2 linked regions of the Canis lupus familiaris genome follow. The protein of the gene in region 1 binds, or shares a complex with, the protein of each later gene. Links are inferred from orthologs where the notes say so. Each region holds a gene or a part of one and is shown on either strand. Other genes may lie near its edges. The genes, in order: CMKLR1 and RARRES2.

Region 1 (4,479 bases):
AAAAAAATAAACCTCAGTGTGCAATAAACAACCCAGAAACCTGGACAAAAGGCAAAAAGAAAAGATGTTCATATGAGCTAGCTGCATGGCCCTCAAGTTTTGGGGCACATCAGAATCAACTGGGGAGCTGGTGCAACATGCAGACTCCCACACCTCATCTCGGAGATTCTGATTCAAAAAACTGAAGCTTTAGGAAATACTCATGATTATTCGGCACGAATAATATTATTCATGCTTATTCTGATGTCAGCAATCCCATGACTGCACTTTGAGAAGCCCCAGGTCTACCTTGTAGCCTTGAAGCTGGCAGTAATTACTGGCAGTAATAACCACATTCATGCAGTGTAGCTCAAAGCAAGTGAAATAGGCTTTTAGGTTTTTCTGGACTCTGATGGGAACCCGAGCACTAATAACACACTGTTAAAGAAATTAATAATACTCTCTATTTGGCTCAGATGGGTGTCGAAGGTACAGACAGCAGGTGGTATAGAAATGATAATAGAATCACAGCTCGTGTTTATAGAGCTCCTTATGACGTGACAAGCCCTCTGCTAAGTGCTCCACGTGTGTGATCTCATTTAATCTTTATGACATTCCCATTTTACAGATGAGGATATTGGAACATACAGATAACTTATTTTATGTCATTCGGTGGCAGGGAGCAGACTGGGTTCAAATCTACCCAAACAAACTAACTCTGGCCATGATGTACCAGTGCCTCTTGTGGAGGTCTAATGTTGGAACCCCTCCCTGGGGCTCAGTTTCCAAATCTGTAAAATGGGCATATTAAGAATACCTTTATCACACAACCATAGCGAAGATTCAAGAAAATCATGGCAGTAAAGTGGTCTGCAAACTGAGAGGAGTTAATTAAAGAAACACCTAAGGGGTGAGATTTTGTTCGACTCTCCCATCCCATCTTACAGATAGTAGAACCAAGGCCTGGTTCATTTATTTATTCATTAAATATTTACCAAGCACCTACCTACTGAGGATACAGAGAGAATAGTAAATCCCCCAAATCTGGCCTCAAGGAGCCCCCAGCCTAGCAGAAGAGACAGTCAAGAGAAAGACCTCTCCAAAGGGCTCAAACCAGAGAAGGGAGTGCCTCACCCAAGATAAGGTTTACCTATTCCCTGAAGTTTTGGTAGAGTCCAGAGAAGGTCCCTGGATACCAGAGAGAACTCCTCCTTGGGCTTCCCAGGGCCTGACACCCCACCACCTGAGCATCCCTGGTTTAAGTTAAGCCTTCTTTCTTGAGGAAATGCCAAGCTGCCCTCCTCCCACCACCGGAGGCCAATCACATTCATCTCGGCAACCCAGGCATATGAAAGTGTCTCTCCTCTGAGCGAGTTCGGAGGAAGGAGAAAAGATAGCAAGAACCGCAGGTATGATCAGTCTTCAAAAGGAAGTAAGGGCTGCCAAAAGGGAAGCTGGGGATCAGGCCTCTTAATGGAAAAAAATAAGACAGACCCCCAAACCTGGCCACTTCCTCACTGGCCTATCTGAACCACAAGATGGTCGGAGTGATCAGACTTATATGGAGCAGCAGTTATGATTATGATGATTTGGCAGCCAGCACTGCCAAATCCTTCATATACAAAGAACTCTTAAAAATCAACAAAAGATAAACATGCTGACAGAAAAAAGTGGGAGCCGACTTGACCGGCATAATCATAAAAGCAAAATGAACAGTAAGATTACAAGGGATAATCAGCAGTAATAAAGAAATGTCGAGAGAAACAGCCAGAAGCCTCACAAACCTTAAGAACAGCACTCAGTGTTCCGACTCAGTGATTTAGCCTTTGGTAAGGTATCCATAGGCCAGACGTGCAAAGATGAGGTACAAGAGCGGTCATCATAGCACTGTTTGTAGTCATGGGGAAAAAAGGAAAAAAGTAAGAAGGAAACCACCACAGTGAGGAAGGGTTAAATAAACCCCAGGAGAGCCTTTCTGTGCAGCCGTTAAAATGTGTCCTGGAGGAATATAGATAGAAGTTCCCAGTCTGCGGGGAAGGACGAGGTGAGGGTGCCAACAAGACGTTAGCAACCTGTGCGTGAGTCCACACCTACATACTTCTACACGCCTGCCACATCTAGTAGGCACTCAACAAACATCAGAGAAAATCAGTGAGCGAGCGAGCGTGTGAGCGCTGGAGAGGGCCGCCCGAAAGGCCACCTCGGGGAGGGGACCTCTCTGTACTGAGCTGCAGCCCAAGGGCAAGGGCGGCGGGCTGCGCTGCCGCTGGCTTCATGCCAGTCTTGCCACCTCCCCCGCCGACCCAGTTTGTGGTCTCTGCAGCTCTGGGCCAGTGCCTCCCCCTCTCTGAGCCCGCTTCGCTCACCTGTAAAATGAGGACACCTGTAAGATGGAAGCACCTGCCTCGGAGAAGGAAAACACCGAGCTTTTAACAGTAGGGCGGCCCTGCTGTTTCTTACAATTAGCATGCACGACTTCGGAAACCTGCAAATGATGTTTTCATCTTGACAAACATTAACTGTGAAGCAGAACTCCGGGCCTCCTCTCCCTACTGGTATCCCCCGTTCCTGGCCCCTCCGGGCGATGTCAAAGCCGAGCGTGATACCTTGTGGCTGGTCTCCGCCTAGGTCTTCCCAGGGGTTCCCCTGGACTTCAGGCCACTGGAGGCTGTGCAGGGGGCCCCCCGTTGCCCGACTTCTTTCTCGAGGTCACGGTCACACCGTTCTTTGGCTGCGGCTGTCTGTCCAGAAGGCAATGTGTCCATTCATTCAAGATGCCCTGGAACCCCCCTCTCCCCACCAGATTGCAGCCTCCCCTAGAACCCCCTCAACCCTCACTCAGCGGGGGCTCTGCGGGAGACCTCGTGCTGTCCTGAGCTCCTCCAGCGAGCGCAGCCGCTGTCCTGAATGGGACAGGACTCTGCCAGAGAAACAGCTGGAGGGAGGAGAGAGAGGGAGGGCGGGGCAGGAAACTGGGTTGGCCGAGGCTGGGGGCGGCCAGCTGCGTGGAGTGGGGGCCGCGGGGGAGGCTGCCCCTGCCTGCCAGCCGGGCCGGGCGTGTGGGTGGTGGCTGGTGGCTGGTGGCTGGTGCCTGGTGGCAGGGCCTGCTGAGGACGACCCGCCCCTCTGGCGGCAGAGCCCAGCTGGGAGCCTTGCCCACCATCCGGGCGCAAACCAGGAGCACATGCGAGCCCCAGGCAGCTGTGGGAAGTGGCCGCTCCCTGCCAGGGCCTCCGGAGCAGCCGGATGTCCCAGCACCCTGGGCCACCACCTCTCTCTCCGCCGCCCGCTGGGATGCCCTTCCTGGCCGCCTAGGTGCGGCTCCGTGACCTCCTGCTCCCTTCTTCCTTTCTTTGCAAATTAAAACAGCAATGAGATTTATTTTTCTTGAAGTATCAAATGAACAAAGATTAAAACGTCTCATAACGTTTGGTTTTAGTAAATGTCACCGGGAAGCAAAAATCTTATGCATAATTGGAATATACATTGATAGACCGTTTCTGGAGAGCTGTCTGACAACATACATCAAAACCTTTAACTACATTCAGACCCTGTGTTGTTTAAATATAAATCCTGCTTTCTTCCCAAACTCTGCTCCCCGGAGGGAAATATCATTAACACTTTGGTATGAACACACACACACATTCTATATATAAATGGAAAATAGCACAGTCATACTTCGTGTACCATAGTGTAACCTGCTTTTTCATTCAGTGATAGGTGTGTGTGTGTGTGTGTGTGCGCGCACGCGGACACACCTTACCCTGTTTTAACAGCTGCTCATGATTTCAATGAATCGATGCACTGGTTTGTTTGTTTATTTAATTTTTGTTTCCCAAATGGATACAGACAATTTATCACTTACATAGACAGCAAGCTCTGGATTATTGAATCCGCACTTTCCTGGTGATTGGTTAGTTTCACTTCATCTTTTTAACTGTAAGATACACCCCATAGCACACTTGTCCAATTATTTTCTTATGCAAAATTCCTATGAATATATATTTATTATTCAGAGGGTCTCCTGCTACCTTTTCAAATCTCAGTTTGGGGACCACCTCCCCAGAAGCCTTCCCCACCGCTGGGGGTTCTGCTCTCGGCCCCTGGGGCTCTATCACAGCCACAGGAGTGTCCCCTCCTGTTAGAGCATCTCTCTCCCTTGCACTGGAAACTCTGTTGGGAAGGGAACTGTCCCCCGCTCTGGCCCCAGCACGAAGCCTGGTGCCTGGCTCGCTGTCCGCATGATTGCATCAGCAGCAGAATAAACACAAGAGCTGACACCCAGACAGTGTGCTGGCTCCTTGCTCCTTAATTCTCAGGGTGACCCTGCGAAGTTGGTACCATTTCTGCCCTCATTTTACCAATGACGAAGTTGGGACACAAAAAGGTTAAGTCAGTTGCCCTAAGCCACACAGCCGTTAGGTGGGAGAGCTGTGATTCCACCCAGACTGTCTTGCTCCAGGGCCCAGCCCTCGGCCTCCAGACGAAAGAAGTAACAGC
Region 2 (4,343 bases), on another chromosome or scaffold:
TCCAATCAGGGTAGAAGCTGGGGGTGCTGCCTGCAGTGGGGAGCAGCCCCCCTGGCAGGCCCTAGAGCAGAGGGGCAGGGGTCCTGGGGCCAGCTGGCTTCTGGTGCAGCCCACCTGGGGCCTGGGAGATTTCAGACGTCAGAGCACCCTATGGTTTTCAAACTATGGACCGTGTGTGTGTGTGTGTGTGTGTGTGTGTGTGTGTGTGTGTGTGTACGCGCGCGCGCAGATCTCCTTCCCCAGATGGGTTCTCCCCACCTGACTTTCACTGGGGCCATTCTGATGAACTGTTCTCAAAAGGTTTGACGTGAACACAGGGGTCCTGACATAAAAGTGTGGAAAATCACTGATACAATCCAGTCCCTCCCTTAACGGATGGAGGGAACAGGCCTTCAAAGAACCTACTGAGTCACAGGCTGGGGCTCGGAACAGCTGGGACATGGGGACTCCCCTGTAGCAGTGGTTATGCCCCCAGGGGGGCTGAATGCAGTCAAGCGCTGCATGAATCAGCCCAGGCTGGGCTGTCTCTATTTGGAGACTCAGAAAGTGGAGAATTCACGCGGCCTGGGCTGGGGGCCAGCTGAACCCCATGCCCGGGGCTTCTTTCACCAGTGGCCTGACGCCTGAGAGAGGAGCCCCGGGGGGAGGAGGACAGGAGGACAACATCAGATCCCCAGTCTCAGACTGAGCCTCTAGAAGTGGGACCACTGCTCCACCCTCAGGGCTTCTTGCTGGATCTCTCCACCTAAACCAAAATTACCAACCCTCATACTGAGCAAATGCCCCATCTCTCTCTCTTTCTCTTTCTCTCTCTCTCTCTCTCTCTCTCACACACACACACACACACACACACACCCTCGGTCTTCACTCACCCCATTGGGTTTGATTTTGCAGTTGGCTTTTTTCCAGTCCTTCTTCCGGCAGCTCGTCTGCTGGAGTTTAAATTCCAGCCTCACGAAGGTCCCTGCAGGGAAGGGCTGCCCACAGAGAAAGCCAGCAGCTGGCTGAGCATGCAGATCAATTCCTGGATGGGCCGGGTCCCTCCTCCCCCATCCCCCGCTCCTCCCCAAACAGCACATCTGAGAGGGTGGCTGGGGTGTCGGCCTCTCCCTGGAGAACTGGGTGCTTGTCGAGCCCAAGCACGTTTCCACCTGCTTCCTGGGAGCGCACCTGTGGCCTCAACCCCTCCCCTCCCCAGGCCACGCCACTAACCGTGTCCTCGGCTTTGTCCACACTGGTCTCCTTGAAGGCCCACTGAACGGGCGGGTGCTTATGAAATTCTTCCAGGGCCACCTGCAGGCCCCGCTGCTGTGCTGCGGTGAGCTCAGCCCTGCCCAGACCCACCGCGCCCAGCCACAGGGCCAGAGGGATCAGCAGCTGCCACATGGCCTCACTTGGTCGTCGTGGCCCTGCAGAGAGTGCTTAGTCCTCAGCCCTTCATGCCAGCCGCCGAGCTGCCCGCTCCCTGGCCCTGCCGCGGGGCTAGCGCAGGGGGGGCTGCCTGACCCACTCTGGGCCCAGGTTGGAGGGGCGGGAAGTGGCCCTTTTGTCGAGAGAGCCCTGGTATTCCCCTGGTCCCCTGCTCCTCCACCCTGCCCCCCACCAGTCTGGGGCCAGCCCAGCCCTGGTTGGGCCTAGTCCTGGGAAGGTGCTGAGCTGGTTTTTGTCCTCAGGCCAGCAGCGTGGGAAGCCCCCCCGCCCCCGCCCCCCCCCCCCCCCCCGTCTACTCCCACCCTCCCCCTTTCCCCTTCCCACTTTCCTGGCCCATTCCTTCTCCCCCGCTGCGGGGTCTCTGGTCCCCTGTCTGCCCGCTGCCCTCAGAGCTCCTCTCGGCTCCCCCATCTCAGCCTCTGGGGTCTGCTGGCTCGCTCCCAGTCCCCTGGAACCCTGGCCCCCGCACTCCCTCAGTCCCCCAAGGCTAATTCAAGGGGGAGGGGCAGGATATAGAATGGAGGCCAGCTGGAGGCCAAATATTTCTGGGAGGACGTAAACACAGGGGAGGGGCCCAGAGTAGGGTGGGAATCGGGAGGGTGCTTAACCCTCCCTGTGCTGGGGCTGCCCAGGACCACCAGCCTCCGGCCCTACCCCTGGCCCCACACCCTGGGGTCTCACCTCAGCCCCACCAGGGCTTTCTTCAGGGAGACCCCCTCCTCCTTAACTTCTTTTCTGGGTCTTCCCTGCCACTCCTCTCCCAGCCCTTCTGATCTGCCCCCTAATGCATGACTAGGGTTGCCTGAGGCATGGACTTACCGCTCGAACTCTGTGTGTTCCGGTGGCCTGAGAACAAGAAAGCTACAGATGTGGAGACGGAGGTCCTCTCGCTGAAAGATACCAGGTGTTGCCTTACAACCGGTTGACAGATCTCACCCCTGGAGCTGCTCCTTTGGCCCGTCTCCTTCCATCCAGCTGTCCCCCTGGCCCACTCTCCCCCCTCACCTCTTCTATGCCTCAGGGTCTCTGCTGCCCTTCTCCTGGATGACTCGACATCAGGCTGTTAGCCTCTTCCTGCCCCCCCTTCCTCTGGTCGGCCCCCATCTCCTCCCACTCCCACCCCCTAGGCCCCTCCAGCTTCCAGCCCGCCCAAGGCTCCTCCCCACCCCGTTAGGACCGGCCTCCTGGCAGCCTTCCGAGACCTTCCTCCCATCTACCGGCAGGCCTCTCTGCTGAGATCTTGCCACCAGACCTTGACCCCAACTCTGGCCAAACCACCCTCCCCTCCCCCTGGCCCAGGAGCCCAAGCATTTGGTGGTCTTGCCCCAGCCTCTCCTCCATAGGATATGGGGCTACCCTCCCCACTCCCTACCCACTGTCCTGCCTCTGTAGGGCTGCCCTCTTCTTTGGCCCCAACTGGGTGACCAGTTCCCAGCATCCTCAGACACACATTTCAGGAAATTCTTCCCAGAAATACAGCCATCTTCAAACCCAATGAGACCTTGAGGAGTCATTTGACCCCTCCTCCTGCCTCCCAAGCCCTAGAACCACACGGAGAAGGAAGGCATCTCTGTTAGAGATGAGTCTCGTGTTCAGCAACTTCTATAGGCAGCAAACATGTTCAGTCTTGATCCTGCACATCCCATCCTTAGTGGTGATAGATTCAGGGGTCTCGTGTGGGGCTTGGGGAGCCTGCAGGCGCAGCAGAATGGTACGATGGAATTCATAAGGCTAGTGTGGACTGGGAGGAAAATTGTCCAAACATTGCTCAACTCTCATGCATCCTAAGCAAATAGGAACAAGCTCCGCGACTCGGTGGGTCAGGAACCAGTCCTGCCATTTCTCTGGCTCAACCTATGCTAATTGCCCAAAACAGGGTCTTGTTTACCTTCCCAAATCCCTAGAACTTCTGCTTCCTTCTCTGCAAGGTGGGGATCAGAATCTCCATGCTAAGGGCTTGTTGTGAGGTTTAAATGAGGACCTTCGTGGAAAGTGACTGTTGGCACAGGATTTGGGGCAGATTTCCTCCTCTTCCCTATTCACCTCTGCCATGGATCTGCACAGGGAGCTGACAGCTTCCTCTTCAATGTGCTCTGGGGGCACCAGCAAGACCCTTGACTTGAGTTACCTCAGGCGGTTACCATGGTTCCTTCCCTGCCGTCATGTAGAACGCGTCATGTGTCTTGTCCACGGCTATCTCCTCTTCCATCTTCTTTCTCCTTGTGAATTTATACCTTTTTACTCATTTACCATTGTTTTGATGGAGTTTTGGGAGGGAGTAGGGATAAACATGTGTGATCCACCATGTTTAAATCAGAGTCTGTGAGTTATTAAAGAAGAAAATCACTACATATATAAATACATACACACACACACATATATATATCACTACTATAAATATATAATTGTGTTCCCCTAAAATTCATATGTTGAAGTCATAACCCCAAGTACCTCCAGAATGTGACTGTATTTGGAGATTTGGACTTTAAAGAGGTAATTAAGATAAAATGAGGTCAGAAGGTAGGGGAGAGGACCAATCCAATATGACTAGTGTCCTTATGAGAAGAGATTAGGACTTAGAAGGAGGACCATGTGAAGACACAGGGAAAAGACACCCACCTACAAGCCAAGGAGAGGAGCTTCAGAAGAACAAACCCTGCCAGCACCTTGATCTTGGACTTTTGGCCTCAAGAATTGGGAGAATAAGTTTCTATTGTTTAAACAACCCAGTGTATGGACAGTCCTAGCACACACACACACACACACACACACACAGGAAATCCTTGTCTAAGACTTGGTACTATGTGCCCAACCTGATTATTAGAAAAGTCAAGTTTTTGTCTATGTGGCACAATAATCAGGTGCTTTGTGATCAAAAGAATGAAAATAAAATGGCTAATACCAAGCTGGAA

What was found.
Region 2: the proteins of CMKLR1 (region 1) and RARRES2 are in contact, whole or in part, in a cryo-EM structure (PDB 8ZJG), measured with the Homo sapiens proteins. The link is inferred for Canis lupus familiaris from reciprocal best matches to the Homo sapiens genes CMKLR1 and RARRES2. Residues at the interface, in NP_001135815.1 of Homo sapiens: Asp20, Tyr21, Leu22, Asp23, Ser24, Ile25, Val26, Val27, Leu28, Phe88, Leu92, His95, Tyr103, His104, Asn116, Leu119, Ile120, Met123, Arg178, Leu183, His184, Gly185, Lys186, Ser188, Cys189, Phe190, Asn191, Trp203, Thr205, His217; in NP_002880.1 of Homo sapiens: Leu34, Phe37, His38, Phe60, Thr75, Ser76, Cys77, Arg96, Leu111, Gly112, Arg113, Leu114, Val115, His116, Cys117, Pro118, Ile119, Thr133, Leu136, Arg137, Gln139, Arg140, His146, Ser147, Phe148, Tyr149, Phe150, Pro151, Gly152, Gln153.

The regions. Positions count from the first base shown.
Region 1 is NC_049247.1:18,844,088-18,848,566, reverse strand, and holds the start of CMKLR1 (chemokine-like receptor 1), read right to left. Parts: upstream 3,033-4,479; 5' UTR 2,841-3,032; exon of another isoform or gene 2,721-2,840; 5' UTR 2,586-2,720; intron 2,578-2,585; exon of another isoform or gene 2,346-2,577; intron 1-2,345. UniProt on the Homo sapiens protein: Receptor for the chemoattractant adipokine chemerin/RARRES2 and for the omega-3 fatty acid derived molecule resolvin E1.
Region 2 is NC_049237.1:15,398,749-15,403,091, forward strand, and holds the start of RARRES2 (retinoic acid receptor responder protein 2), read right to left. Parts: upstream 2,858-4,343; 5' UTR 2,804-2,857; intron 2,577-2,803; exon of another isoform or gene 2,437-2,576; intron 2,322-2,436; 5' UTR 2,251-2,321; intron 1,410-2,250; 5' UTR 1,387-1,409; coding exon 1,213-1,386; intron 978-1,212; coding exon 873-977; intron 1-872. UniProt on the Homo sapiens protein: Adipocyte-secreted protein (adipokine) that regulates adipogenesis, metabolism and inflammation through activation of the chemokine-like receptor 1 (CMKLR1). Also acts as a ligand for CMKLR2.